Pelodiscus sinensis: one gene and its partners. The protein of the gene in region 3 purifies or fractionates together with the protein of the main gene of each other region. This does not show direct contact. Links are inferred from orthologs where the notes say so. Each region holds a gene or a part of one and is shown on either strand. Other genes may lie near its edges. The genes, in order: CLSPN, TOPBP1, ATR and RPA2.

Region 1 (6,953 bases), on a different chromosome or scaffold from region 3:
CTTTGCCTTTTCTAGGAATATAAAATCCCATTTAATCAGTTAACAGGTTAACATTTAACTGGTTAACCACTTAATTTCGATCCTGCGGTGTGACAGGTCCAGCCAGGCTGGAATGGTCTCCCCTGCCCTCAGTGTGACATGATGGGCCCTAGCTGGTCCTCCTGCCCACCCAAGGCATGGTATGGCATGATGGGCCCAGCTGGACTGAAGCTGCCCCCTGCCTGTCTGCAGTGCAGTGGGCCCGACTGGGTTGGAGCAGCCCCCGCCTGCCCGTTCACCCACCCACAGCATGGTGTGGAGGGCCCAGTCAAGCTGGAGAGGCCCACCCATCCACCCCTTGGATGATTGACTGCTCCATCCCAGCCAGGCCCGCCATGCTGTGGGCTGCTCCAGACAGGCCAGTCAACTGGTTATATCCCTACCTATTTCCACATTTTCTGTTAGTTTTTTCCTCTTTTTGTAACGGGCTGATCCTGTCCCTGCTCTTCTTTGTGCTTCTAATATATTTGTAGAATGTTTTCTTGTTATCCTTTATGTCTCTAGCTAGTCTGAGTTCATTTTGTGCCTTGTCCTTTCTAATTTTGCCCTTATATATTTGTGTTATGTGTTTATATTCATCCTTTATAACTTGACCCAGTTTCCAGTTTTTGTAAGACTCCTTTTGTTATTTTTAAATCATTTAAGATCTCCAGGTTAAACCAGCATGGTCTCTTGCTGTACTTCCTATCTATTGTATACAGTGAGATAATTTGCTCTTGTGCCTTTACTAACCTCTCTTTGAAAAACAACCGTCTTCAATTATTTTTCCTCTTAGACTTGCTTCTCATGGGATCTTATCTACCAACTCCCTGCATTTGCTATAGCTGCCTTCTTGAAATCCACTGTCTTTTTTTCCTGTTCTCCCTACAATCATTCTTTAAAATCATGCACTCTGTCATTTCATGATCACTTTCACCCAAGCTGTCTTCCAGTCTCAAATTCTCAGCCAATTCCTCCCTATTTGTTAAAATCAAACCAGAACAGCCTTCCCCAGTAGCTTTCTCCAGCTTCTGAAATAAAAAAAATGTCTCCAATACATTCCAAATACTTGTTGGATAATCTCTGCTCTGCTATGTTGTTTTCCTAACAGATCTCTAGATAATTGAAGTTTCCCAACACCACCAAGTCCTGTGCTTTGGATAGCTTTGTTGGTTATTTAAAAAAAAAAAAAAGCCTCATCCTTTTTAAAGCTGGCTCCTGCTTCTACACTCCTCCTGCTGCCTCTGGTATAGAGGCAGCAAGGAGGGGATTGCAAGTAGTCGACACGACTATTTTTTTTACATTGCTTAAAAGCTGGCTCCCTCCTTCCCCATGGTGAGGGGAGGGTGGGCAGGGAGGCAAAGATGCAGCAGTACTGTAGATCTGCCTTTTAAATATAGTAAAAGGTACCTGGCTCTTGCTACATTTAAAATCCAGAGGCACAGAGTGGAACCCAGGCAGCTTTTACTACATTTAAAAGGCAGAGCTGCAGCAGTCCAGGCCTGGCTCATGCTGGGTACCAGACCTACCCTCGCTGCAGCTATGCACGCCCAGCACCTACTACATGTAAACTGCATAACCCAAGTGACCTTTTATCAACTAATCATGTACTCAACACACATTATATCGAGTACACAATTAGTCATTTACTCACTACTTAACATTCTTAATTCCCATCCCATTAGGAGGACCTTAGTTATCCAGTGTGGGTCACGAGGACAGCATATTTATGGTGCCCCCAGTTACGCCGGGAATCTCAGATTCACTGACCGCACCACAAGAGAACCATTGACCTGGCTCTCAACCAGCGGTACACATACTTCGGGGGAAGGGATGTGCAGATATCTTTCAGGCGTCCATCAGCTTACCTACATATTTACCTGGTTTTACAACAGGCTACATAAAAAGCACCAGAAAAGTCACTCCAAACTAACGGTCGATGCAACTTATTTATACAGCGCACTGCAATATTTACAGCCCAACACATTTGACAATGCAGTGGAAGCAGGACAGTCAGCAACATTTCTGTGCCAGGTTTGTATTTTTGGCTGTGGCTAGACTGGCAAGTTTTTCCGCAAAAGCAGAAAAACTTGCCAGCTGTCTACACTGGCAGCTGGAATTTCCGCAAGAGTACTGACCATCTCATGTAAGAAATCAGTGCTTCTTGGGGAAATACTATGCTGCTCCTGTTCGGGCAAAAGTCCCTTTTGTGCAAAAGGGCCAGTGTAGACAGCTCAGATTTGTTTTGCGCAAAAAAGCCCCGATGGCGAAAATGGCGATCGGGGCTTTTTTGCGCAAAAGCACGTCTAGATTGGCACGGACGCTTTTCCACAAAAAGTGCTTTTGCGGAAAAGCGTCCTGCCAATCTAGACGCTCTTTTCCGCAAATGCTTTTAACGGAAAAACTTTTCCATTAAAAGCATTTGCGGAAAATCATGCCAGTCTCAACTAGCCTTTGAGTCTGAGACTGCACACAGGTCGTTTGTCAGAGCAGTGAAACCTGCGGGAGACACCAGCCCAGCCTCCTGCAGAGGGCCCCCCCCCATAGTATGAAATGGCTGAGCACCACGGACGTCTTGGCCACCGCCTCGCTGAGCTCAGTGTGCCGAAGGGCACGCTGGGACGTGTAGTCCTTACATGGGCACAAGGCAGGCTGAGACCTCTCGCCGCCACTGACTGCAGTGCATGCTGGGACGCGCCGCCTACGCGCCGTGCATGCTGGGAGTCGTAGTCCCCGCCAGCTGCGGGAAACTCAACAGAGAGGGGACAGGGGTCACTGCACCCCCGCCATCCCCTCTCGGCGCCTGCCGTCAATGCAGGCCGGGAGAGCTTACCTCAGCCGCCATGACCCCAGGCTGCGCGGTGGTGGGCAGCACCCCTAACGCTGGCTGCCCCTCAGGAGTCCCCAGGTCTCCTCAGCTGCCGCCGCCAGCGATTGAAACCCCTTCGATTCTTCGCGCTCTGCAGCAGCTAGCCCCGCCCCCCACCTCGAACCAATCACAGCTCGTGCTCTGCCTTCAGCCTCCGCCTTACTCGGCTCCCTAGTGGATGACTGGCCCGCCTTGCAGGTCTGCGAACCAATCGCCATCCGGCTCTGAGCCTGAGGGGGGCCCCGGCTGTGCCAGCATCCCATTGGCGCCTCACCGCTGTCAAGTCCCTCCCGGCTCGCTCATCGCCTCGTCTGCTCCGAAGGGATAGAGGGGCCCGCTGGGCCTGAGCCGCTCTAGCCGCACATCACGCAACTCGGGGCTAGTGACCCTGGCCAAATGGGATGGGGGCCGCAGTGCATGCTGGGGGCTGCCTGGTTTGGGCCTCCCTCTGGGGGCCCCCCCAAGTTCACAGGGGCCTTCCACTCTTAAGGGCCCTGTGCTAATGTTATTGCTAGTGCTGGACCCCCCCCTCCCCCCATCCTCTCCGCCCTGGAGCCCTGTGTCCTAAACCCGCTGTGGAGAGCCAAGCAGGACAGACCCCCTTCCAGTCCAGTGCCGGGCGGCGTCTGCTCTTTCTGCCCGCGCAGCCTGCTGCCAACGTACAGCCGCCCCCACCTGCGTGCGTCGCCCCTCGACTTCTTGAACTGGACTCCTCGAAGGGCAGGACTGCGCGACGGGTCAGCTCGACGGGGCCGCAGCCTGCGCTGGAAGCTGGGGTTCTGTGCCGCGGCTCAGGAGAGATTCAAATGCTGCCCTGCTGACGAGCAGAGCCCCCACCCACTAGGTTTTTGTGTCTGCTGGTGGTAGGGATCATAGAACCATAGAACCATAGAGCTGGAAGAGACCTCAGAAGGTCATCAAGTCCAGTCCCCTGCTCTAGGCAGGACCAATTCCAACTAAATGACTAATCGATTAGTCGATGTAAATGACTAATTGATTAGTCAACTATCCGATAAGCAAAAGTTTATCAGATCGTTGACACATTAGTTGACTTGTCGCTTCCCCCCACCTTGCTGCCTCTGTCAGAAAGGGGCAGTAAGACAGGGGAGAGGTGTGGGTGTTGGGGGGAGCTGGTTTAAAAGCTGGTTCCCCCCAGCTCCATGGGAGGGAACAAGAGCACAGCGGGGGCGTTCCACCTTTGAAATGTGCAAGAGTCCCCACTGGCCCTCTTGTATATTTCAAAGCAGAAGCGCTGCAGGGATCCTGGGGCCAGCGAGAGATTCAGAGTCCCCCACTGGCCCCAGGCTCCATGTGGTATTTCAATCTTTGAAATGCACAAGATCCCCTATGTACATTTCAAAGGTGAAACGCTGTGCAGCACTTCCACCTTTGAAATGTAGCAATAGCCGGGAGCGCTCTTGCTACATTTCAAAGCAGAAGCGCCCTTATCAACAAATTGAACAGTTGATTAATCTAATTTTAACATCCCTAGCTGGTGTTGCATATTTGCAAATGCATTGGTGCATATAAAATTTATTCTGCACATGGATAGAAAATATTAGTGGGAACATTGTCCAGCGGGTGTTAATAGACACAATAAATTGACCAGTGATCATTCTTCTGTCAACTCTATAGACATCTATATGGCTCTACCAAGAGTTCGTCAGCAATCTAAAAATAAAAATGGAATTCTACAAAAAGTGGAAACATGGACAATTTGTTAAGAAGCCATACAAACATATAAGGATAAAATTAAGGCACAAAATAAGTTACATCTAACAAGGGCCATAAAGAGTAATAAGAAAAGGTTCTATAAATACATTAGCAAGAGAGGTGAAGGAAATACGTTCTCTTGTTAGCGGGGGAAGGACATCTAATAACAGTTGACAATAAGGCTTAGGAGTTTAATATCTGTTTTGTTTCACTTATCACTAAAAAGGTAAATTCTGTTTTGTTTCACTTATCACTAAAAAGGTAAATTCTGGGGTATTTATGCCCCAGGACAATACCGTTATGTTTGGATTACATATATTCTAGTATTGCACCTTGGTTAATCTATTACATGGAAGCCCTGTTGTTACTAAATTCACTTTCTGCAGCTTCTGTAGTATCAGTTATTTGAATCAATCCTGTTTGGTATCTGGGAGCGAGGTTTTCAACAGTTATGGGTCTGTGCATTACATTTTGTTAGGAGCAAAAATTAATAATCACATTTCTTCTCTGGGTTTACAAACTATACTGATGGCTCTGCTTGCCTGATGAATTTGACAGATCTGCAAATTACATTGGTAATTATGTAAAAGCCACTTTGTGGGCAAGAACCAAGTTAGTAGCTGAAATGGTTTTATTTAAGTGACGTAATTGCAGATAGAGATACATATTTCAACAGAGTGTAAATACTGTTGTGGCCAATTAAGATTTCCCATTTGTCACTATGCTGCATACCATGGCCAAGGGAATTTAATGGTGGCAGCAGAGAGAGAACTGTGTTCCACAAGGAAATGCTGCAACCTCTCGAGCAAAAGGAAAACGTTTATTAGCTCTTAGCAATACAGGGTTTATGATACACATCAGTTCTCATTTTATCCAGCGGACAGCAGTGGTGCACACTCATCAGCAAAGTCATTACAAAAGCATTTTTAGACTAAAAGAAAAGCATGTAGTCACAGAAGCTGACATTTAAAATCCTGAGAATGCAGCTGAATCAATTATATAACATGAAGGCACATGTACTTGGTTGAATTTAACAAGCAGTTCAAAAGCAATTTTACATACTTAAGTACATGCTTATAAAGCCAAAAATAAATAACTTACTTTTTCTGATTCCTCAACACAACAGTGATCAGCCAGCCATTACTCAGCCAGCAAAATACAATTTTGTGCTAACATTTAGCAAAAACAACACTTAAGAATTTCAAAATTAAAAATTTGCAGAATTCATGAGAGTGTAAAATGATGACAACCAAAGCCTACCAAGCAAGCTTCACAAAGTATTAATCATGGTTAGTACATTAGTACATCGGTGTACTGTAGGTTTTCAAATATTGGTCTAAATTCATTCTTGGTGTTACTTTTATTTTACAATGTAACAGGGACACAAAAGGAGATTCCTAGAATGATATGGTCAGAACAATTTTCAGAAAGCTCAGGTCCATTTGTAAAGTTTTAAAATTAAGAAATCTGATTAGATACAGCAGATCTGCCTATTCATTGATTTCTTCAAGAGAACTTTCTTCTGCAATAGGCCAGTTAGGAGACACATGGGGCACATTAACCCACAAAATCAGTTCATTCAAGAGACACCCACTGACAGGTCAGCATGCGAATGCAAAATTATTCATTGTCTTACAAAAGTATGTAGAATCAACTAGATAACCTAGCCATTGGCAAGCCTTAGTGCAGCTGTGCACTGGGAATGCCAGCTGATCTGCAGACACATCTTGGCCTGGATCTACAAAAGGATTTGGATCTTGTCTACATTACGTGGGGAATCAATGTCTGCTTAGACACAATAAATCGATCTCCAAGTGTGCTTCCACTGATGCCAATACTCCACCAAGATGAGAAATGTAGCCAGCATCAACAGGAGAGCAGCTCCCCCTGACCTTACCTCACGCAAGACGCTGTGGTAAGTATGTCAACTTCAGCTCCACTATGTGAAGTAGATCAACTGCACAGGTAAGTGTAGACAAGGCGTCACAGTGCCTATCTTTTAAGAGCCTCAAAAATCATAGGAACAACACTGTGACCCACACAGCTGCACACATAGACATCTGGGCTCTCTATACAATGAAGGGAAGGAGAGAGACTATCATTTTAAAATGCAATCCACAAAAGCCAGCACTCTATTGACTATAGACCTAAACTGATGACAGTGTGTGTTAAGCTCCACTTCTCTGAAAGATAGCTGAAGTTTTGACTGTAGCTACTTAGTGATCCATTACTGGGAAGCTGCTGCCTAGAGTCAGGCAGCCTAGGCACCTGTTATGGAGATGAGTTAGCTACTCTGCTGCCCTTGAGCTACAGGAAAAGGATGGAGGAAGAGGAGGAGATCATGTTAGAGTGC
Region 2 (7,989 bases), on a different chromosome or scaffold from region 3:
TGTTGTATTTGCAATCTATTAAAGTTAGTTGAATTCTTTGGTTTTTGCTTCTTGCAGAAAAATGTGTGTGTTCTAAAAAAAATGTGGGAAAGGGATGGTAAAGATATTCAACACAGCATGTTGCAATACCTAGGGAGCAGACAGGATAAGGTAAGTAGATGTCTCTTTCCAAGCATTAGTAACTGGATAGAGTCTTTCAGTACTAGATCAAATCCATTCCACCATCAGATCAATAGTGATGATAAGCTTCTAGGCAGTGGATCATAAACTTTTGTCTGCTAGCTTAAAGAGCCCTCTGCTATGTGAGATCATCTGCACAGGAAGATTGTCAGACATTGTGACAAACACTTTCCCACATATCAAATATAATTACAGTTTGAGCATCCAAGACACACAATTCACTTAGACTTAATAGCTCCTCACTAATTAAAGATTCTATTCTGCTTCATGCTGAATTGTCTTTGTGGAAGTTGAGCATACTAAAAATTCTTCACAAGATCAGTCCCTCAGTCATGTAGAAGTGTGACCACTACATAAGACCTTCTAAACAGAACTAACCCTAGATGTTAATAAAAGGAATCACTCTAAACTTTTCTTTAAAATATCTTCTATTCCTTCTGGCTGAAATCAAGGGTAACTTGCTATCTTATACAGCTTTTTGTATCTTTCCATTGTAGGGAGCATGAGCTGTAGGTTCTAATTGCAATTGTTACTTTAGCCTAGGTCTTAGTCATTCCAACTTTTTAGTTTATAATGCCACCATGTGGCCACTTTGTTTTGTCTTCTTAAATCAACCCTGTTAAAAGGGTATACAATTCTTAATAGTTAAAAAATATTTAAAAACCAAGCATTTCCTCCCATAAGTCTAGCACTGCTGTCTGAGGAGCCTCACATTGCCTCCAGCCAAGCCAAAGGAGGATGGCAGTACTCAGGTGAGCACCAAAGAGACTGGAAGCTAGGAACATAGGACACCTTTTACAAAAATGAGCTTGTTGGCATTGCATGTACAGATTGCACAGCATATTATAAAAGTAGGGGCTTGCCTTGCTATTGCTGATAAAGTATTTTCTCACAGCTGAACTGTCTGGCTACTGCCATCCAACCAACTGTAACAATTCAGAGGTGCTTTAGATAGTTCATGAAGCATGAAGGAGCCCTAATAAACCATACAAATGCAACACATCATCTACTCCAGCAATTCTCAAACTATTAATTGTGACCCAAAGTGGGTTGTGACTATTTTAATGGATCTGCCAGAGGCTGTTATTAGGCTTACCTGTGGCCCATGGCTGGATTCCAAGTCTCAGTATCTGAGGCCAAAGCCCAAGGGGTTCAGCACTGTGTGCAGGGTGCCTCAAATTACAGGCCACCTGCTGGGTACTGAAGCCTTTGTGGCTATGCATTACCCTCCTTACATAACACCCATGGGGCTCTAGCATTGCCTCCCTCCTCCCCACCGTACCCACCCTATGGCAGAAGGACTCATGTACTGCCCCCCCCTTCCTGTGGTTGTGTAGCAAGGTTTATTGTCATGAGGGCATCTCAATCAGTGTTGCCTCTAATTTTTCCATCTTTAGGCAGAATTTTGTTATACTTATCAATATGGAGGTGGGCTGTGTCTAGACTGGCCACTTTTTCCGTAAAAGCAGTTACTTTTCCGGAAAAACTTACCAGCTGTCTACACTGGCCGCTTGAATTTCCGCAAAAGCACTGACAATCTCATGTAAGATTGTCAATGCTTTTGCTGGAACTACTATGCTGCTCCCATTCGGGCTAAAGTCTTTTTCTGAAAAACTTTTGCGCAAAAAGGCCAGTGTAGACAGCAGAGATTTGTTTTCCGCAAAAAAGCCCTGATTGCGAAAATGGCGATCAGGGTTTTTTTTGCAGAAAAGCGTGTCTAGATTGGCCACGGATGCTTTTCCACAAAAAAGTGCTCTGTTCCGAAAATGCTTTTAACGGAAAACTTTTCCGTTAAAAGCATTTCCGGAAAATCATGCCAGTCTAGACGTAGCCGTGATGTTTTATCCATCAACTTTATATTGGTGCACATAACAAAATTCATGTGGTGGTGGATGGGGATAAAGGTTCATTGTACGGGAGGGGACTCAGCTGTGGGACAGAGGATTGGGGTGAAAGGCTCTGGCTGGGGGTGCAGGATCTGGGGTGGGGCCAGGAATGAGCAGTATAGGGCTGGGATAAAGGGTTGGGGTGCAAAGGTGTAAGGACTCCAGACAGGCATACAGGCTAGGGGTGGATAGGGACTAAGTGGCTAGTGGAGTCACTACTCGATTACTTGCTTCTCCCTCCCCTTGCTGACTCTCTATCAGAGGCAAGGGCGGGGGGAGGGGGGGCGGAAGCAGGAGCCAGTGCTGGGGGGAATCAGCTTAAAAGCCAGTTCTCCACAGCATTGCCTCCACAATGTAAGGTGGAGGAAAGGGGAGGCAAAGGCGCAGCGGTCCAGGATCCAGTACAAGCTAGGACTGCTGAGTCCCAGCTCGCACCAGGTCCTGGACCTACTCCTGCTGCAGCTCTGCTTTTTAAATGCAATAGGAACTGCCCTTATCAACTAATCGCTCAATACAAATTGTATAGAGTACATAATTAGTCAATTATCTGCCTCTTAACATTCTTTGAATTGGGACAAGGTTCAGTGGGGCTACGTCTACATTGGCATGATCTTGTGCAAATACTCTTTAACAAAAGAGTTCTTGTGTTAAAGTATTTGCGCAAGAGAGCGTTTACTCTGGCATGTGCCTTTGCACAAGAGCATCCGTGCCAATGTAGATGCTCTCTTGCGCAAGAAAGCTCCGATGGCCTGTCTGCACTGGCCTCTTGCGCAAGAACAGTTGTGCAAGAGGGCTTATTCCTGAGCAGGAGCATCATAGTTCTTGCGCAAGAAGCACTGATTTCACACATTAGAATGTCAGTGTACTTGTGCAAGAACTCACCACTAGGGTAGAAAGGCAGCATGTTTCTGCGCAAAAGCAGCCGCTTTGGCACAAGATAGCGCCAATGTAGACACAGCCTAGGAGTTTGGGGTGAAGGACCATTCTCCAAGGCTATGTCTACACAGGCAGCTTCTTGCGCAAGAAAACATCCACACTGCCATGTGCGTGGTGTGCTTTTGCACAAGAGCTCCCATGGTAGTGTGGACGCTCTCTTGCACAAGAAAGCTCTGAGGGCCATTTTAGCCATAGGGCTTTCTTGTGCAAGAAATCCCTGCCGAGCATCCACACTGTCCTCTTGCGCAAGAGCTCCTGCGCAAGAGGGTTTACACCTGTTAAAAAAAGAGCCTAACTCTTGCGCAAGGAACCCTCTCTTACCACGCCATACTGTAAATTTCCTTGCCCAAGATCGGGTGGGCAGTGTGGACACTCTGCAAATTCTTGCGCAAGAATGGCCGTACTTGCGCGAGAAGCCGCGAGCGTAGACCTAACCTAAGGTTACTGCAAGGAGAGAGGACACTCCCAGCTCTCTCGCCTTACAGAAGCACCTGGACTGGGGAAACAGCCTGTCTCCCCAAAGTAGTAGCTCTAGGCCCATGGTCACCAACAGGTCGATTGCAATTGACCAGTCAATCGTGAGGCATCCTGTCCGCCCCACCCCCATTTCCCTCCTACCCCCGAAAAGCCCCACTACCTATCTCAAGTGAAAATGGAGGTAGTGTCGGCTTCCCGACTTTGGCTTTTTGCGGAAAAGTGTCCATGGCCAATCTAGACACGGTTTCCCACAAAAAAACCCTGATCGCCATTTTCGCGATCGGGGCTTTTTTGCGGAAAACAGTACTGTGCTGTCTACACTGGCCCTTTTGCACAAAAGTCTTTCGGAAAACTTTTGCCCGAACGGGAGCAGCATAGTATTTCCGGAAAAGCACTGATGATCTTACATGAGATCATCAGTGCTTTTCCGGAAATTCAAGCGGCCAGTGTAGACAGCTGGCAACTTTTTCCGCAAAATCATGCGATTTTGCAGAAAAACTTGCCAGTCTAGACACAGCCAAAATGTATAATTATAAATGCTTCATTTTAGATTTAAATAGCATGAATAAAAAACAGACCATTTATTTCATAACTATAAATACATTATTTTAATTTTATATATCACATAATTTAAAAATAAACTGTTTATCAGAGCGTGTAAGTAAGGGCTGAGGATAGCAAGTGATGGACAGGAGGAGAATAGAGAGGGTGGGGCTTCAAGGAAGGGGCGGGGCAGTAGATCTTCACCTGTTCTGAGATTTAAAAAGTGATCTTGGGTGTAAAAAGGTTGGAGACCACTGCTCTAGACCATGGCAAGTTTGGGGTTGGGGACAGGCTGCTGCCCCAGGATCAGGTCCAGGGTTGGGCCACCCCGGGGGGCAGAGTCAGGCCGGGCCACCCCACCTGACAGGGCCAGGCTGGTGCCAGGTGACCCTGGCTGCAGCAAGTTGAGGGTGGGCTGGGGAGGAATTGAGTTGGCCCTCCTGTGGCTGCCACAGCTTCCCACCACGTGTGGTCTCCTGAAAGAGCGGCAGGGCTCTAAACACCTGGCCGCAGCGCTTACAGGGGAACCTGGCTCTCACCGCACTTACGTTTGGAAGCCCTGGTGTAGCTGCAGCGCCCTCTGCTGGGGAGGGAAACGAGGACCGGACGCTGCATCTCCGCGGGGACTGGAACCAGCGCAGACCCCGCCCCCACATTCACCCAGGGCGGGGCTCAGGAGAGTCGCCTTGTAGCGCCCAGGCTGCCCAGTTCACCCCCCCGCCGCACAAGAGCCCGCGCGCTGTGTCGGGCCAGGGCCACTAAGGAAAGACCCGCGCGCTAGCGGCAGAGTGAGGGCGGGGTGAGCCCCCCCCCCCCCGCCACCTCCAGTCCCAAGGGGCGTGCGGCAGCCGGGGGGAGGGGGGCACCGTCAGGCGTTGACACGCGCACGCGCCCCCCCCAAGCGGCCCCTACAGCCCCTGGCGCTGCCCAGGGCGGGGCGGGCGCAGAACGCGCAGGGACGCAGCGTCGCGCGGCTGAGTCAGGCGCAAGTTGGTGACGCCGGCGGCGGAAGAAGACCAAGCAGCCAACAGCAGAACTGCCGTTGCCGGATCCACTTAGAACGCGCCGCTCGCAGCGCCTTTAAGAGGTGGGCCGGGCCTCCCGTCTTGGTCACGTGACAGAGATGAGCCCGCGCCTGCGCAGTGTGGGTCTGGTGGTCTTCCCGCCAATCTTGGGTTCCCTGTGGGAGCGAGGCCGCAGCATCCGTAACCTCGCCCCGCGCTGACCCCTCCGGGCTCCCCTAGGCTGGGGGGGAGCAAACCCGGCCGACTCGGCTCCTTCCACGGGCAGGGCTGGTGAGGGGGTCCCTGAGCAGCGGGAGGACGCGGCGCAGCCCGGCGGGAGGGGCCGAGGTGACAGATCCGCGACGGCGCGAGTGGCTGTTGCCCGCGCGGGTGGGGGGGGGCTCGTGACGGTGACGCGCGGGGAGAGGCGCGCGACTCCCCAGGTCCCTGCGGCGCCCCCGCCCCCCGGCTGTGGTGAGGGGTGGAGCCGGCGGGGCAAGCGGCGTTGGCCGCTGGGGCGGGGGGAGGCGGCGGCGGCGGGCGGGGTGTTCCTGGTTGGGCGGGGGAGCCCCGTGTCAGACCGATAAGGGAGACCCCGGGAACGTGCAGCCCGGGCTTGCCGCTGAGCAGAGCTGCCTACGGAGCCGTGAGTCTCAGCCTGTTCCCCCGCGCTCTTGTGCAAGGCGCGGTGCTTAGCAGCGCCCCCGCTAATCTTTTCCACCCGAGTGCGGATTTTTTTCCCCCATCCATGTGTGGAATAAATGTTTTATGTGCACCGAGACACGTGCCAATGTGTCCACTAGTAGAAACAAAAACCTGGCTGTTGGCGCCCTGCTGCAGGCTGGTATTTGAAGCTCTCCTGAGCAGCCACCTAAGCACCAAATTTTCAAGAAACACTTGTGTCCTTCCTTATAGGTCCAGCAAATTCTCCAGGTAGTAAAGGGTTGGAGGAGTAAGTCAAGAGGTTACCTAATCTTCACCCCTGCTCTATTTCTGCATCAGAGAGAGTGATCTCTGAGATGTGTTGAGCATCTACATACTGCAGCAGCGGTTCTCAAACTGTGGGTTGGGACTTTGTTTTAATGGGGTTGCTAGGGCTGGCATTAGACTTGCTGGGGACAGAGGCCAACACCCAACCCCTGTCTCCCATGTGCAGTGTCATGACCCAGGGTTTCAGCCTTAGATAGTGGAGTTCAGATGACAGGCCTCCTACCTATGTTTCAGCATTGTCCCCCCTCGCCCCCACACTCTCCCCCGTGGCAGTGGGGCTCAGACTTTGCCTTTGCTCCTCTCCTTCCCAGCCTAGGGCAGCAGGGTTTGGAGCAGGCTCGGTCTTCTCGGGTCAGGTAGTAATGTTTGTAAAAAGGGGTCATGGTGCAATGAAGTGTGATAACCTATGTACAACAGTTATAAGGGGCAATATATGAGCAAATTAGTAGCACTGACATTTACAGGGAATAGATTTTTAATGCTTGGATACATTTGTTCAAGAAATTCAGAAAAAAAACAATTTATGTGGAAAAATAAGTTAGGAACATCTCGTTAATACAAGTCTTGAATACATAACAGTTATTATGAAAAATAATACTTCAAAGCTTATTTTGCTTCATCCATTTGTTAAAGGATGAAAAGTGACAAGGAGCCATTTTTTGTTAAATTTATAAAGTCTTCTGGCAACTCTGAATATTTTTTTAAAGCTCTTGAGGTAAGAACTTTTGGTACCACTGTTAGCTGTTTTCCTGAATTTACTTTTCTTTCTAATTACTTTCATATTTAGTTTTACTATATTTATCTGTAAATAACTGCATTGTTTCTCTCAGATGCAATATTAGATATTAATTTAGATAATACAGTTGCCTTGTTTAACTTTCTACAGCAAGGATCAATATTTTCTGTTATGTACTTCAGTTTTTTTTTTTTTTTACTAATTACAGTGGATTAGTTCCACTTAATACAGTGAAAAAGTCATATGGTGAAATCATTGTTTTGAAACCAGTTCTCTAAGGAGCTGTGTGCCTCTGGAAAGGTGCTGAAGCACTCAGTACTTTGGTCCTAGTACTGGAGACAGTCACTGCCTGGCATGGCCCTTACTACTGTGAGATGTATTTTGAAATAATTTGAAGATCGATTCAAATTAAAATCCGGTGTAATCTGTTAACTGGTTAAATGTTACATTTCCCTGATTAACAGGGATCTTGTGAGCTGGCATGCCCCTCTTCTTCGCCCACAGCCTGGCGGGCCTGGCCAGGCTAGAGTGCCCCCAGCTCATGGCATGGCACAGTGGAACCAGCAGGGCTGGAGCAGGCCTCTGCCTATATTGGGTGGGGGCTACTTCCACTTAGCCAGGCTGCTGCTGATGTTAACTGGTGACATCCGTAACTTAATTAAGAACCTTGACTTCCTCCAGGAACAAATTGTCCTGCAAGATTTGAATTAACTTATTGAATGCTGTGCTTTGATAGCTAGTATTTGAATGATTGGGATCAGTGATTGTAGAAGGCATTCAGCAGGTCCCAGAACAGAATGAGGTGCAATCTTGAGGGTTCAGGTCCCTCTTCCGTGCTAGTACTGAAGAGGGTGCTAAGTCATTTCTCCCCTGAGAAGTCAGTGGGAATTAGAAGGTTCTCATCATCTTGCAAGATAATGTCCAATACATGAAAATGTGTACCCTGTACATTGCAGTGGATTGAAATAATATTATATTTTTGTTTAGTTGCACTGCAAGTAGATTCTTCTGTAGTAATTTTGCTGTAAGTAATTTCAACTGTATATGTTTTGCAATTGCCATAGGTAGATTTATCTTAACTGTTTTATCTTTGAATTTAAGTTAAGTATATTGTTCCATGTTTTCTTGCAGTCCATAAAAGAATTTCAATCCGAAGAATATCTTCAGATTGTTGAAGAAGCACCAGCACTCAATATAAAAGAAAATGACAAATCCCTTTACATCTGTGACCCTTTTA
Region 3 (7,022 bases):
AGAGCTGCGTCATGATGTTGAAGGGGAAGGATTTGATGAACTCCAAGCAACAGAAATAGAGTTACTTGAGTCCCACATTACCAAGCTCAAAAAAAAAGAGCTACAGGAGCTAATTCAGTGAATCACTAGTGACGAGGACAGTGAGGAGGTACAAGTGGCACCAAAACTGTAACTGACAATGAAGAATTTGGATAAAGGTTTTCAATTAGCCAAGGAAGTCGAGACTATTTTTTGCTGAGAATCCATACATGGAATTAGGGATGTAAGCAACTAGTCCACTATCCGATAAGCAAATGCTTATCGGATAGTCGACTAGTGATTTGACTGGTTGCTTCCCCTCCTTGCTGCTTCTATCAGAGAGAGGCAGCAAGGGTGGGGAGCAAAATCCGGTGCTGGGGGGTAGCCAGCTTAGAAGCCAGTTCCCCCCAGCACCATCTCCATGGGGAGAAGGGGCAGGCAGGGGTGCAGCAAGGAACTGGCGGCGCTTTCACCTTTGAAATGTAGCAAGAGCAAAGTCTTGCTACATTTCAACAGCAGAAGGCCTGCGGGGAGCCTGGGGCAAGCTGGGGACTGAAGCATTCCCCCACTGGTCCTGAGCTCCCTGCTTTTGAAATGTATAAGAGCCCCAGGAGGGAGCTCAAGGTGGGAGCATGGGGTCAGTGGGGGATTGCTTGAGTCCCCTGCTGGCTATGCTCGCCATGGTGCTTCCGCCTTTAAAAAGTAGCAAGAATTGGCAAGGCTCTTGCTACATTTCTAAGGCAGAGGAACCTTTATCAATTAAACAAATAGTTGATGCAAATTAGATCTAAATTTATCATCCTTATATGGAACGTAGCTTGAAATTCAAGAGAGCTGAGGGTGCACTTGCTCCTTACAGGGAAGTTTACAAAGATATGCAGAAGAAAACCAATTTGACTTATCACCAATTTTCTTCATGTCTGCTGTTATCAACTCCATCCCCCAGCCCTGGCTCTGCTTCAGCCCTAGTATCTCCAGGTGGGCAGTGAGTTTGAGGGTTTCCCCTACTCAGTGCACGTTCCTGGTGCTCTACCTGGGGAGGAGGATCAGGGCACAGGGGCTTAGCCATTTTGCCCAGCCTTCCTACTAGGGAGCAGGTTCAGTTCAAGAGGACTTGCCAGTTCCATCTGCCCAGAGAGTGGGGTCAGGTCTTATTCTTACCCGACTCCATCCACCCAGCATTCCAGGGAGCAAGTAAACCACCATGCCCTGACAGTGCTCCCCAGTTGCACCATCAGGGTGGCAGGCAGAATGAGGTGAGCTCCCTATTCTGTTCCCCAGCAGCAACACAAGGCAGGGAGAGCAGGGTGATTGGAATAGGGAACAGCCTCCATAATGTGACTGGGATTTTTCAGCTTTGAAGAGACAATTAACAGGGGGATATTATTTAGGTCTATAAAATCATGACTGGTGTTGATAAAGCAAATAAAGAAGCACTATTTATTACTTCTCATAACACAAAAAGTAGGGGTCACCAAATGAAGTTAATATGAAGCAAGTTTAAAATAAACAAAAGGAAGATTTTTTTTCCCTCACACAATTGACAGTCCACATGTAGAAGTTTTTGCCAGAGTATGTTGTGAAGCTACACTATTACAGGGGTCAAAAAAGAACTAGAGAAATTAATGGAAGACAGGTCCATCAATAGCTATTAGCCAGGATGGGCAGGGATGGCATTCCTAGCCTTTATTTGCCAAAAGTGGAGACGGATCACTTGGTGATTATCCATTCTGTTTGTTTCCTCCTGGGCACCTGGCACTGACTAAAGTCAGATGATAGGATAACTGAGCTTGACGGACCTTTTGCCTATTATGGCCATTCTTATGTTATGTTCTCATCATATCAAGTTCATCCTCAAATCAGTAATGGCAAGGTTAAATTTCTTAACATTTTAAAATAAAAACTGCACTGCATAAGTTAGGGAGTTCATCCTGTGAGCCTGGAACTTAAGCCCTTATTTCCCATGGACTTTGGATATCATTTTATACAGTTTTTATTTGCAGTGTTTTTTCAAGAACATAGCCACCCTGTAAACTGAGGTTTGACTAAATCAAGACACCATTTTCCATAAGCATCCTACATACAAGTTATGAGAGAAGCAAGGATTGTCCAGTACTGCACCGGGATGCAGAACTGGTTTAAATAGCTGGCTTTGTCTGTCTTGTCACGTGACCTAGAACAACTTAGCCCCACTGCATCTTAATTTTCCTCTCTGTAACAGTACGAATAATACTTAGCATTGTTGGGAGACTAAACCATTAGCATTTCTCACGTGCTGAGACACTGCAGTGAGCGAGCATCACAAATAAGCCTATAAACAAGCAAGTGGTGCAAAGAGCTTTGCAGAGTTCAACACCACAACGTGACCAGTAAAACAGCAGCAGAGACAGTCAGCGGCTCAGACTCTGGAAAAGGTTCCGCACATTTGGAAGCGAACGGAGCAGACGAGGCCAACGCTCGCGAGGGGGTTTTGTTGTTTCGAGCAGCACGTAAAATGCCATTTCTTGTTGTGTTACTAGCACCGCGTGCAAGCCACCGCCACAGCCTGCGCGCCCCGCTGCCAGGGCTCACGAGGAAGTCAAGCTACCGCTCTGCTCTAAGCCCAGCTGGGGGGCAACCCAGACATGTCGGAGCTGCCGCAGGCTCCTGGCTCTGAGCGGCGCGGGGCCGCTGCAGACCTACCTGCCCAGCTCCCTGAGGGCTGGGATCATAGAGGCCAGCTCCAGGCCCTGCTCGGCCATTGCGGTTAAACAGCCCCGGCTCAGCGGCAGGCCCCCGCACTCCTCTCAGAGGCGGGAAAGCGAGCTGTGGATGGTGGCCGGCTGGACTCAAAACGCCTCAGTTCATAGCAGGGCGTAGCGCAAACGCGTCCTCCTTTGCTCCGCGGCAGGGGCTGGCTTGGCTGATCAGTTGCTGTGACGCGCCGCGCACGCAGCTTTACTTCAGCCAAGAGCAATACGATTTATTTTAGACGGCTGAAGATAGCATTGCACAGGCTAGGAAGGCTGCAGAGGAAACACTCTTTAACGACTACGTAATTAACCCCCCGCTGATAATGCGCTACGGATCAGCAACGCGCTGACTCCAGGAGTTGTACATTCAGGTTTTAGTAATGCAGAAATAACATATTCGCTAGGCAGTGTATTCACCGCAATTGCACAAATCCGCATGCTGACCGATATATTTTATTGCTAGGGAGATGCCCACACGCCAGTGTCTCAAGTACACTGAATGCAATGGCAGTCTTCCTTTTCATTCACTCCACTACCGTGCAAACGGTATTTGAAGCTATTCAACCCAGATACTGTTTACAAGTATTACGTATTTATTCACCTGATCTAAAACTCAGGGTGTTTGTTTCCTGGTTTTAATTAGCCCTCGAGAGATTCGTCACTGCCAACAGCAGCCTATGAACTTTGCGGGGATCACGTGTGTAAAACTAAAAGAGGGAAGGAAAAGGATCACAAACCAAGAGATTAATCACGGAAGCCAGATTTTGGAACTAATCATCAATAGCATGTTTCTCAATCATGAGCTTTTCCCCTCCGTAGCTGTGGAGTCTAGTAATGGTAGAGGAGTGAGGTAAACTTGGCTCTAACATTAGATCTCATCGTGGCTAATTATGAAAAGATCATAGAATCATAATCATAGAATACTAGGACTGGAAGGGACCTGGAGAGGTCATCGAGTCCAGTCCCCTACCTCCATGGCAGGACCCAGTACATGGCAAAGATCCTTCCAGTGAACAGCCGACTCACAGTACAGCGCTAAATAGGAGGAGCTCCCCCAGGAGATTTAACACGGAGGAAAAGTCCTAAAATTCAAGGCTGGCTTTAGGCACCGGTAACGGGACCGAGATGCCAGCTGTAAGGGTCTCTGAGTTATGAGTTCCTACCAGTATGGGCCCTGATCCAGGACTGTGTTGGCTCATCTCTCTAATCTCCACTGCAGCGCAGCGAGGGACCCGCCCGCTTCTCCTCTCTCAGTGCCCTGAATGGGGGCGTGGACCCTGTGTCACCCCATGGCCCGGTTTCTTCAGCTACGACGCTGTTTAATAAAGACACGGGACACTGATAGCTTGAGAGGGCCGTGCCACTGAGTCCTGCCCATCCCTCGGGAGGGAGCTCGCCACTCGGAACCGAGCCCATCTCCCGGGACGCAATGGGATTGGTCTGGGCAGCTGCCTGTCCCGCGGATGTTCGACTGCTCCCGGCAGCAGGTGTCTTCTAGTTCGCAGCAAGTATTGTAGCCGCGGCTGGCGCAGACGCTGCAACCCGAGCAGTAGGAGGGGCCGGTACAAGACCAGCGTCAGGTAGGGGTCTGGCACATACCTTGTGACAATTGTACCGTTCTACTTTTTTTTTTTGGAGGGGACGGGCAGGTAGAGTGGGAGAGAGAATGGGGGTTTCCTTGGCTTTGCTGACAAAGATGCATTTAATGTGGTTCCCAGAATATCTCTGGCACTGTTGTTCAACTTTACGCTTTTTTACAATTCATTGTAGCCAGCCGGCTGAAGCTTTCTTTGGCAGGAAAGATATTCTAGAATAGATATTCTAGAATAGATTATATTCCAATCTATTTAAAGTATTCAGGTTATTCTTAAATTCACGTGTTAGTAGTTTTAAACAGACTTTAACACATAAAGTATGAAACAATAAAATACCTAAAAGCTAGAGACCCATCCACTCTCACCTTGACAACCTGCTTTCTCACAGCAGACATCAAAATAAAGGTATATTTTAATAGAGTAAATAGGTTATGATGGAGAATATGGAGTTCTGAGGAGTCATATATTGCCCTACATAGACAGTCTGCAGGATATGGAAACAAAGGAGTTCTTCAGCTTACTGTGTCTCTAAATGCAGATATTAATAGCCAGGAGACTAGGGAAAGGGAAATTGTAGTTTTGATTTGGCTTTCCAAATTGGGAGCTACTGTCTTTGTTGTGTTTGTTTTCAAGCCTATGAACCTTTTGCCTGCATTGTTTATAGGGATGCATGTAAGCACAGGCTGAAATAAAATCCTTTTTTTGGATTCTGTTTCTGTGGCCAGTTTCCCAATTCTGAAGCATTAATGTTGTATGTAAAACAGATAAAAAAATGAAATCAATGTGCTTATGTCCCAGTTTCTGAAGCATTTTAAATGAGTGCTCTTCAAGAAATTGTTGGGAGTTCACTTTTCATTCATAACTTATTTCATTCACACTATTTCCTTCCCATTATATTTAAATATACAGGTAAATTTAAATATTGGTCTGCTTATTCTGTCCTTTCAAGATCTATTTGATAAGAAGAAACTGGGATATTTCAGGAGACTTTCAAGCACACAATTGTTTAACCTTTACATTTTTAATTATTTATTGCAGCATTTACTGCTATGTGAATATATATATACTAACACCTTTAAGTGGCATTACCAGTGTGCAGTTAGAAACCTTAAACTTTGACTGGCGATGGCCAAGTGGCATCAAACTTTGGAATGAAAAGACCAGAAATCAGATTAAACAGAATCAAATTGGTGATTTTTCTGATTCACATATACATTCTGCAAGATTTAAGTTTTAATTTAAAAAAAAATTGTCAACCCTTAGGATTGTGAAAATAACCTTCCAAATGTGAACTGATGCAGCACTGTTTTTCTGAGTCTGCACTTTTGTGTTCAGTTTGTACACAGTGTCAGTTCAAACAGCAACATTATGCATAGTTTAATTGCTGATAATTTTCTGACAAAATCTCGCTATTTTGGGATTGTAGGACCAAGGCGGGTAGAGTATTAACATTTTAAATTCCAACCACAAGCCTAAAGAGGGTGTATAACCCTCCTATGTCAGGCCATAGGATACATATAGCACCACTAGGCTGCAGAAGTGCTTACATAAGTATTTTTCCTTAGAAGCCTCTTAGTCCAGCAATGAAATCACAATAATGCATTTATAACATACATTTCATTGTCATAAATTCGGGATGAGATATAGCTTTATTTTAATACAGGGCCAGCTATGTGCATTTGCAAATTATGTCAATATGTGATACTCTGGCTTTTTTCTGTTAGTCCTTTTCCTATGAAATAGCCTGACCCAAATGTCCACCACAACCAAGTCCTCTAATAAAATATGAAAAAAAAAAAATGTGGGAGGCTAAGTTTTCTCCCATTTATTAAAGCTCTCCCTGACATCTCCTTCCAAGTGATATAACCTGACTGTCAAATCTCCTTTTGCCTACCCTGCCCTATTGTTAAAACTCCCCAATATTCCCCTAATGGCAAGAAACCTTGACCTGCCCAGTACTCAAATCCCAATATGCTAGGTGAGCTATGGAAATCACAGAGGTTCCCCATGTCTCCCACGGTGCCCCACAAAGCCCAGAACCATCCTTGGTTCAGTATCCATTAGCAAAGACTACTAGACAGACAATAAGTGGCTCAGTAACTTCTTTTTTTGCCAAGATTCACTTGTTCTGTCTCTCTTTACTACCTTTCTCATTTCCTTTGAAATCCTTGAAAGCTCCTAATTAGCATTTGATTTAGTATATCAATAGACTTTTATCATAAGAACCACGATGATTAGATAGTGTCTCCCACCTATTGTCTGGAGTAGTTTGTCTCAAGATTGGACTGATCTTCTTTTAACTATGAACTCTTAACATAATTGACAATGTGTATGTACATATCTTACAATTATTATCATAAATAGAGTGACACGGACTTTCATTGGAGGTCTTATATGCAGGTATGTACCTCTGAACTTTCACCCAGTTGGTACAAAGAGATCCCTGGATCCACCATGTCACAGATGCCCCTTAGCTAGTGGCTGTTTGAGAAATGAGCTTGCCTAATTTTCATGGGCCCAGTTAGGGCATATCTACACTAGGAAATGTTTTGAAATAACTCCTAAAATAACAATTTTGAAATAGTACTGTTCCTCATGACAAGCAGGAGTTATTTCAAAATAACAAGCCCGTTATTTCAAAATAGTGTAGTAGTGTGGCCACTCTACTTGTTATTTT
Region 4 (7,281 bases), on a different chromosome or scaffold from region 3:
AAATTAATATTTTACTTTATTTAAAATAAAGTTTGATAAACTAACATGAGAAAGTTAAAATGCTTAATTTGTTTAATAATTTAAATTAAACCATTTTCCCTGGCTGCAGCACTAGCAAAATGGCTCGGATGTAGTTAACAGAGAGTTTCCATTAACAACTGGTGGTCGGTGGAAAGGTTTGCCTTGAGCCAGGTGGTCCACGGACCAAAAAGTTTGAGAACCACTGTGCTAGAGGGTGATTGCTGCCCAGGCTACGGCTCCTGGGCTGGGAGGAAGCAGGGGCGACAGAGGAAAACCCCTATCCCAAGTTTTTCCTGTGATTTAATCTGAATCTGCTCCACTGCAGCTTGGGCCCACTACCCTTTGTCCTGACTTTTGTGGCAAGAGAAAACTGTTTTCCATCTTTTTATGGCAGTCTTTCAAATATTTGAAGTCTGGTATCATGTTCCCCCTCAGTCTCTTTTTTCCCCCCAAACTAAACATACCCAGTTCCTACAGCCTTGCATTCCATCCCTTTGATCATCTTTTTTCTGCAGCCTTTCTATACATTGGTGACCAAAACTGGGCACAGTACTCCAGCTGAGGCTCAATCAGCATCAAACAGAGCAGTACTATCACTACCTGTGACTTGCCTCCTATGCATCTGTTAATGCAGCCTAAAATTGTATTTGCTTTTTTTTTTTTTTTTGAAACAATATCACATTACTGATTCATGTTGTGATTGAGATGTTCAAAGAGATTTACAAACACTGAGGCTGTGTCAGCATTATTGTAACTGAATCTGTGACCAGTTAGTCCCAGAGACAGCTCTAACCATGGTTTGAGTTCACTCACAACTGGTACTCTTTAGAATCACAACAGTCAGTCATGCTTTCCAGTGGCCTAGGCTGGCACACAGCCGTTTTCCTCCACAAGGTATGTTGGCTTTGTTTTTCACTATGTAGAAGGAAACGCCTGAATAAGTTTGTGTCACAGGGATGGCCTGTCTTCCACCTTCCTTACAGCTTACCCTATGCACTCTTACTATCCGTCCAGGTGCATGTCCTTCATGCTCCATTATTCCCCTGCTGAGAACATTTAGGATAGTTTGCCCAATTTTCCCTGATACAAACACAGTAGGCAACATGACAGACAAAGGAATATTTTACACATTCTTCTGATGCGGAGGAAAAAAATGCAGAGCTCAGCCATGTTTGGTGTAACCAGGTTAAGTAGCCATAAAATGAATTACAACTGCAACATTTAATTAAGACACAACATTCTGTGAATAAATATCTATTCTGAGAAGGGAAGTCAAAATACAGTATAAGTTACTTGCCAAAGGTCATAAAACACATTGAGGGAAGGACCAAGGCCAAAACCTAGCTCCTAGGCCACTGTACTCCTCCCATCACTGCTTCCCAATTCAATGTTATATTGAAGCTTCTCTCTTATCCCTAATACCGTACAATTTGTTCTCTGCTGGGAGAGGTATAGATAATCCTTCTCATGACAGCAACATAAAGATCAAAACTCTCATGGGAACCTCCCTAGTGTGACCAGGCACCCAGTTCTCCCATTCTTTAAAACCCTTCCACTACATACCTGTTTCTTTTCTCCCTGGGTGGCTGCTGGAGAGCCAAACCCCCCTGGGGACTGTGTGTATCCACCACTAATTGAAGACCCACCATAGCCACCGTCAAAGCCACCTAGGGTAGGGGGGAAAGAATCACAGTTACTAATACATTGTTGCCAATCCCAAGTGTTCAAAAATCACAAGTTATACCAAATAGTCGTGCAATTAGCTTACAATTAGACAAAATAAAGTATAGTAAATACCACCCAAAATGTACATTATATTACTGAGCTCTTTGGGTCACTCAGGTGTTTTCCAGCAGCCGTATCCAGTAGAGGGAAAGCTGAGACTCTCACATATTCACTTAATTCAAACAGCCAAACTTACATTCTCCCCACCTGTAAGTCTTACTCCCCAGCAGCCTGCATTTTTAACCTGCACTCAAGTCCAAACCCCACCAAAGTTCAAAGAAGGCACCAGAACGCTAAGCTCATGGGGACGCCAGGTCACAGAAAGGGGCAATGCCATAGGGTCAGCGACCTGGCCTCAGCAACCTATAGCGTCTCACAAGGTGAGACACATGCCTCATCGCCCCAGCCCCTCCCCCAACACCCTGCCACCCCCCCCATCGCCCCAGCCCCTCCCCCAACACCCTGCCACCCCCCCAGCCCCTCCCCCAACACCCTGCCATCCCCCCAGCCCCTCCCCCAACACCCTGCCATCCCCCCAGCCCCTCCCCCAACACCCTGCCATCGCCCCAGCCCCTCCCCCAACACCCTGCCATCCCCCCCATCGCCCCAGCCCCTCCCCCAACACCCTGCCATCCCCCCCAGCCCCTCCCCCAACACCCTGCCATCCCCCCCATCGCCCCAGCCCCTCCCCCAACACCCTGCCAGCCCCCCCAGCCCCTCCCCCAACACCCTGCCAGCCCCCCCAGCCCCTCCCCCAACACCCTGCCACCTCCCCCCAGCCCCTCCCCCAACACCCTGCCATCCCCCCAGCCCCTCCCCCAACACCCTGCCATCCCCCCAGCCCCTCCCCCAACACCCTGCCATCCCCCCCATCGCCCCAGCCCCTCCCCCAACACCCTGCCATCCCCCCCAGCCCCTCCCCCAACACCCTGCCATCCCCCCCATCGCCCCAGCCCCCCCCAACACCCTGCCAGCCCCCCCAGCCCCTCCCCCAACACCCTGCCAGCCCCCCCAGCCCCTCCCCCAACACCCTGCCAGCCCCCCCATCGCCCCAGCCCCTCCCCCAACACCCTGCCAGCCCCCCCCCAGCCCCTCCCCCAACACCCTGCCCCCCTACCGTGACCGCTCCACATGGCGGCGGCTGCGGACGCTCCAACAGACGCTCGGCTCCGTCGCGCCTCAAATAACCGCCCAATCGGCGAGCCCGCGGCGCTCCAGCCAATCGGCTCCCGCATGGCGAGGGGCGGCGCCACCATCTCCTTCCGGTGGCCTCCGACCCGCGGACGGAAGCGCCGCCGACGCCATCTTTGCTATTGGCGCCGCCCCCTGAGGTCAGTCAGACACGCTCCTCCCAGCGCTGCGGCACGTGCCGTCGTTAGGCTCCTGGGTTAACGCCTCGTGCGCGGGGCTGGGGCAGCTACTGAGCCGGGCTCGGCCCCGCGTCCCGCTCGCCTGGGTCCCCCGGCGCCAGCCCCCAGGGATCGGGGCCCGGCCCCCCGACGCGCCGCCGCGAGTGAACGTGGGAGGCTCCGGCCGCCCAGGCCCAAGAGCCGTTTGTCCCGGGCGCGGCCAGTCTCCGGGGTGCGGGAGACCGAGGGGCGCTCCAGGCCACGCCCGGGTCTCGCTCCCGGAGCAGGGGAAGCGGCGCGCGCCAAAAGGGGAGTCGCGGTTTGCGAGGAACGTGGCTGCAGACGCGGCCTTACCGCCCCCCCCCACTTCCCGCGGCCTTACCGCCCCCCCCCACTTCCCGCGGCCTTACCGCCCCCCCCCCTTCCCGCGGCCTTACCGCCCCCGGCCCTACCGCCCCCCCCCTTCCCGCGGCCCTACCGCCCCCCCCCTTCCCGCGGCCCTACCGCCCCCCCCTTCCCGCGGCCCTACCGCCCCCCCCTTCCCGCGGCCCTACCGCCCCCCCCTTCCCGCGGCCCTACCGCCCCCCCCTTCCCGCGGCCCTACCGCCCCCCCCCTTCCCGCGGCCTTACCGCCCCCCCCCCTTCCCGCGGCCTTACCGCCCCCCCCCTTCCCGCGGCCTTACCGCCCCCCCCCCCTTCCCGCGGCCTTACCGCCCCCCCCCCTTCCCGCGGCCTTACCGCCCCCCCCCCCTTCCCGCGGCCTTACCGCCCCCCCCCCTTCCCGCGGCCTTACCGCCCCCCCCCCTTCCCGCGGCCTTACCGCCTCCCCCCTTCCCGCGGCCTTACCGCCCCCCCCCCTTCCCGCGGCCTTACCGCCCCCCCCCCTTCCCGCGGCCTTACCGCCCCCCCCCCTTCCCGCGGCCTTACCCCCCCCCCCTTCCCGCGGCCTTACCGCCCCCCCCCCTTCCCGCGGCCTTACCGCCCCCCCCCCTTCCCGCGGCCTTACCGCCCCCCCCCTTCCCGCGGCCCTACCGCCCCCCCCCCTTCCCGCGGCCTTACCGCCCCCGGCCCTACCGCCCCCCCCCCTTCCCGCGGCCCTACCGCCCCCCCCCCTTCCCGCGGCCTTACCGCCCCCGGCCCTACGGCCCCCCCCTTCCCGCGGCCCTACCGCCCCCCCCCCTTCCCGCGGCCCTACCGCCCCCCCCCTTCCCGCGGCCCTACCGCCCCCCCCTTCCCGCGGCCCTACCGCCCCCCCCTTCCCGCGGCCTTACCGCCCCCCCCCTTCCCGCGGCCTTACCGCCCCCCCCCTTCCCGCGGCCTTACCGCCCCCCCCCTTCCCGCGGCCTTACCGCCCCCCCCTTCCCGCAGCCTTACCGCCCCCCCCCTTCCCGCGGCCTTACCGCCCCCCCCCTTCCCGCGGCCTTACCGCCCCCCCCCCTTCCCGCGGCCTTACCGCCCCCCCCCCTTCCCGCGGCCTTACCGCCCCCCCCCCCTTCCCGCGGCCTTACCGCCCCCCCCCTTCCCGCGGCCTTACCGCCCCCCCCCCTTCCCGCGGCCTTACCGCCCCCCCCCTTCCCGCGGCCTTACCGCCCCCCCCCCTTCCCGCGGCCTTACCGCCCCCCCCCCTTCCCGCGGCCTTACCGCCCCCCCCCCTTCCCGCGGCCCTACCGCCCCCCCCCCTTCCCGCGGCCCTACCGCCCCCCCCCCTTCCCGCGGCCCTACCGCCCCCCCCCCTTCCCGCGGCCCTACCGCCCCCCCCCTTCCCGCGGCCCTACCGCCCCCCCCCTTCCCGCGGCCCTACCGCCCCCCCCCCTTCCCGCGGCCCTACCGCCCCCCCCCCTTCCCGCGGCCCTACCGCCCCCCCCCTTCCCGCGGCCCTACCGCCCCCCCCCTTCCCGCGGCCTTACCGCCCCCCCCCACTTCCCGCGGCCTTACCGCCCCCCCCCACTTCCCGCGGCCTTACCGCCCCCCCCCACTTCCCGCGGCCTTACCGCCCCCCCCCACTTCCCGCGGCCTTACCGCCCCCCCCCACTTCCCGCGGCCTTACCGCCCCCCCCCTTCCCGCGGCCCTACCGCCCCCCCCCTTCCCGCGGCCCTACCGCCCCCCCCCCTTCCCGCGGCCCTACCGCCCCCCCCTTCCCGCGGCCCTACCGCCCCCCCCCTTCCCGCGGCCTTACCGCCCCCCCCCACTTCCCGCGGCCTTACCGCCCCCCCCCACTTCCCGCGGCCTTACCGCCCCCCCCCACTTCCCGCGGCCTTACCGCCCCGCCCCCCCCCACTTCCCGCGGCCTTACCGCCCCGCCCCCCCCCCACTTCCCGCGGCCTTACCGCCCCGCGCCCCCCCCACTTCCCGCGGCCTTACCGCCCCGCCCCCCCCACTTCCCGCGGCCCTACCGCCCCCCCCCACTTCCCGCGGCCCTACCGCCCCCCCCCACTTCCCGCGGCCCTACCGCCCCCCCCCACTTCCCGCGGCCTTACCGCCCCCCCCCCCTTCCCGCGGCCTTACCGCCCCCCCCCACTTCCCGCGGCCCTACCGCCCCGCCCCCCCCCCACTTCCCGCGGCCCTACCGCCCCCCCACTTCCCGCGGCCCTACCGCCCCCCCCCCACTTCCCGCGGCCCTACCGCCCCCCCCCTTCCCGCGGCCGCCGCGGGCGGGTGGAGGCAGGAGCTGCTTGGACACGTAAGGGCACGTTCGGAGGGGTGTAGCACGGCGGTGCCGCCGGTCGCTGACATTCTCTACGCCATTCGCAGGGGCTTTTGGGGATGCTGCTGAGGCAGCTGATGGGTGACCCTCCACTACTCACTGTGGTGGGCATGGCAGGGTTGCTGGCTGATTCGTTTCTCGCCACTTGGGATAATGCAGCCCATCAGTACGGGGGTAGGGGAAGTATTTCAGGCAGCTGGGAAGAAGCTGGGAAGTAGGGCTAGATGTGAGACCTGGGCTGGGAATGCAGTGAGTTAGGCAGGACTTAGTAATGGGATGTGGTAGTGAGAAGGCCCCTGTGATTTCAGTTGGCACCTGCACAAGAGTCCTGTGATGGAGCAAGAGGTGAGATGTCCTTTGTGTAAGGGACTGGTCTCTGCATCCTGTTCCAGGCACTTGCCCCCGGAAAGGTACCAAGAAAGTAGAACAGATTCTGAGAACAGCAACCAAAGTGCTGGTGAGGGAGGGAAGTGAGGCACTAGGCACCCTGAGTCTGGCTGGGTGGTGAGCAACAGGCCACCTAAAACCTGCCAGTAGATATTTGAGGTAATCTAAATATTCAGACCCCAGTAGGGAATTCACTCCTGCCCTGTACCTTATTTTTGCTGGCTTAACCAACAAAACCAGCCTCCCTGGAGAATGCCACCGGCTCCAGCAGCAGCGGTGCCCAGATTGGGCTGCAAGGGACCCTCCATGGGCTGAGAATCTTTCTTAAGGCAAGCTAGAAGTGCTCCCATTTCACACATTGCCAGGAAGTCAGGTGAGGTGACAGCTGCCTGGGATTGGCTCTTCTCAACAGCAAAGTGGCAATTAGTCAGCAGCTGTCAGAGCTCCCCATTCCAGTTCAGATGGATGCCTTGAGGTTCCTGCTGCTGCTAATGCACTGCAGAATTGCTGCTGCTGCCGCCGCCACCCAAGGTAACAGCCCTCATGAGTTTTCTGTGCCTGCCTGATTTTGCTAGGTCTGGAGGAAGCGTTCCTCCTTCCAAGGGAAGATTTGCCATAGCTTGGTTTCTACTTGACTTCCAAACTAAACTTGGCTTGCTCACGTCTCTTTAAACGAGCTGCAAGATGTGAACAGACCCAGGGCTTCTGGGGCAGCACATGACTGGCTCTCCTGGCATTCATGAAGTTGATTTTTGTCAGCCCACTGATGGGATTGTGTTGAGGCCAACCCTGCCTTGAGGCGCAGGCAGAAAGCATTGGGTGAGGCACAGGATGAGTGAGCTCTCAGCCCTGCCTCTGTTACTGCAAAATCATGGCAAACTTAGAAAAGGCACCTTCTTTACATGTTAGTTTAGCACCCCCAGACAGCCCCGTGACAGATGAGTGGGCAATGGCTCCTGTGTGCAGCAAGTGGGGGTTGGTGGCTCGGGCAGCTGGTTATGTCAGAAGGTGAGTGTGTCTGCATGTTTCTTTTTCACTGGGCAATAGATGAGAATTGTATTAAAACCCCAGGAAAATGGGATTAAAAAAAATAA

The links.
Region 1: the proteins of ATR (region 3) and CLSPN purify together in Homo sapiens (affinity purification with western blotting; 3 studies listed by BioGRID). This does not show direct contact. The link is inferred for Pelodiscus sinensis from reciprocal best matches to the Homo sapiens genes ATR and CLSPN.
Region 2: the proteins of ATR (region 3) and TOPBP1 purify together in Homo sapiens (affinity purification with western blotting; 8 studies listed by BioGRID). This does not show direct contact. The link is inferred for Pelodiscus sinensis from reciprocal best matches to the Homo sapiens genes ATR and TOPBP1.
Region 4: the proteins of ATR (region 3) and RPA2 purify together in Homo sapiens (affinity purification with western blotting; 3 studies listed by BioGRID, with this or other methods). This does not show direct contact. The link is inferred for Pelodiscus sinensis from reciprocal best matches to the Homo sapiens genes ATR and RPA2.

What each region holds. Positions count from the first base shown.
Region 1 is NC_134735.1:7,481,725-7,488,677, forward strand, and holds the start of CLSPN (claspin), read right to left. Parts: upstream 3,011-6,953; 5' UTR 2,864-3,010; coding exon 2,852-2,863; intron 1-2,851.
Region 2 is NC_134712.1:179,226,329-179,234,317, forward strand, and holds the start of TOPBP1 (DNA topoisomerase 2-binding protein 1), read left to right. Parts: upstream 1-4,978; 5' UTR 4,979-5,109; intron 5,110-5,172; exon of another isoform or gene 5,173-5,374; intron 5,375-5,649; exon of another isoform or gene 5,650-5,672; intron 5,673-6,649; 5' UTR 6,650-6,650; coding exon 6,651-6,731; intron 6,732-7,883; coding exon 7,884-7,989. UniProt on the Homo sapiens protein: Scaffold protein that acts as a key protein-protein adapter in DNA replication and DNA repair. Composed of multiple BRCT domains, which specifically recognize and bind phosphorylated proteins, bringing proteins together into functional combinations.
Region 3 is NC_134720.1:21,487,756-21,494,777, forward strand, and holds the start of ATR (serine/threonine-protein kinase ATR), read right to left. Parts: upstream 3,015-7,022; 5' UTR 2,760-3,014; coding exon 2,701-2,759; intron 1-2,700. UniProt on the Homo sapiens protein: Serine/threonine protein kinase which activates checkpoint signaling upon genotoxic stresses such as ionizing radiation (IR), ultraviolet light (UV), or DNA replication stalling, thereby acting as a DNA damage sensor.
Region 4 is NC_134735.1:22,902,133-22,909,413, forward strand, and holds the start of RPA2 (replication protein A 32 kDa subunit), read right to left. Parts: upstream 3,020-7,281; 5' UTR 3,003-3,019; coding exon 2,864-3,002; intron 1,689-2,863; coding exon 1,585-1,688; intron 1-1,584. Other genes in the region: SMPDL3B (acid sphingomyelinase-like phosphodiesterase 3b), read left to right, coding at 6,649-6,718. UniProt on the Homo sapiens protein: As part of the heterotrimeric replication protein A complex (RPA/RP-A), binds and stabilizes single-stranded DNA intermediates that form during DNA replication or upon DNA stress.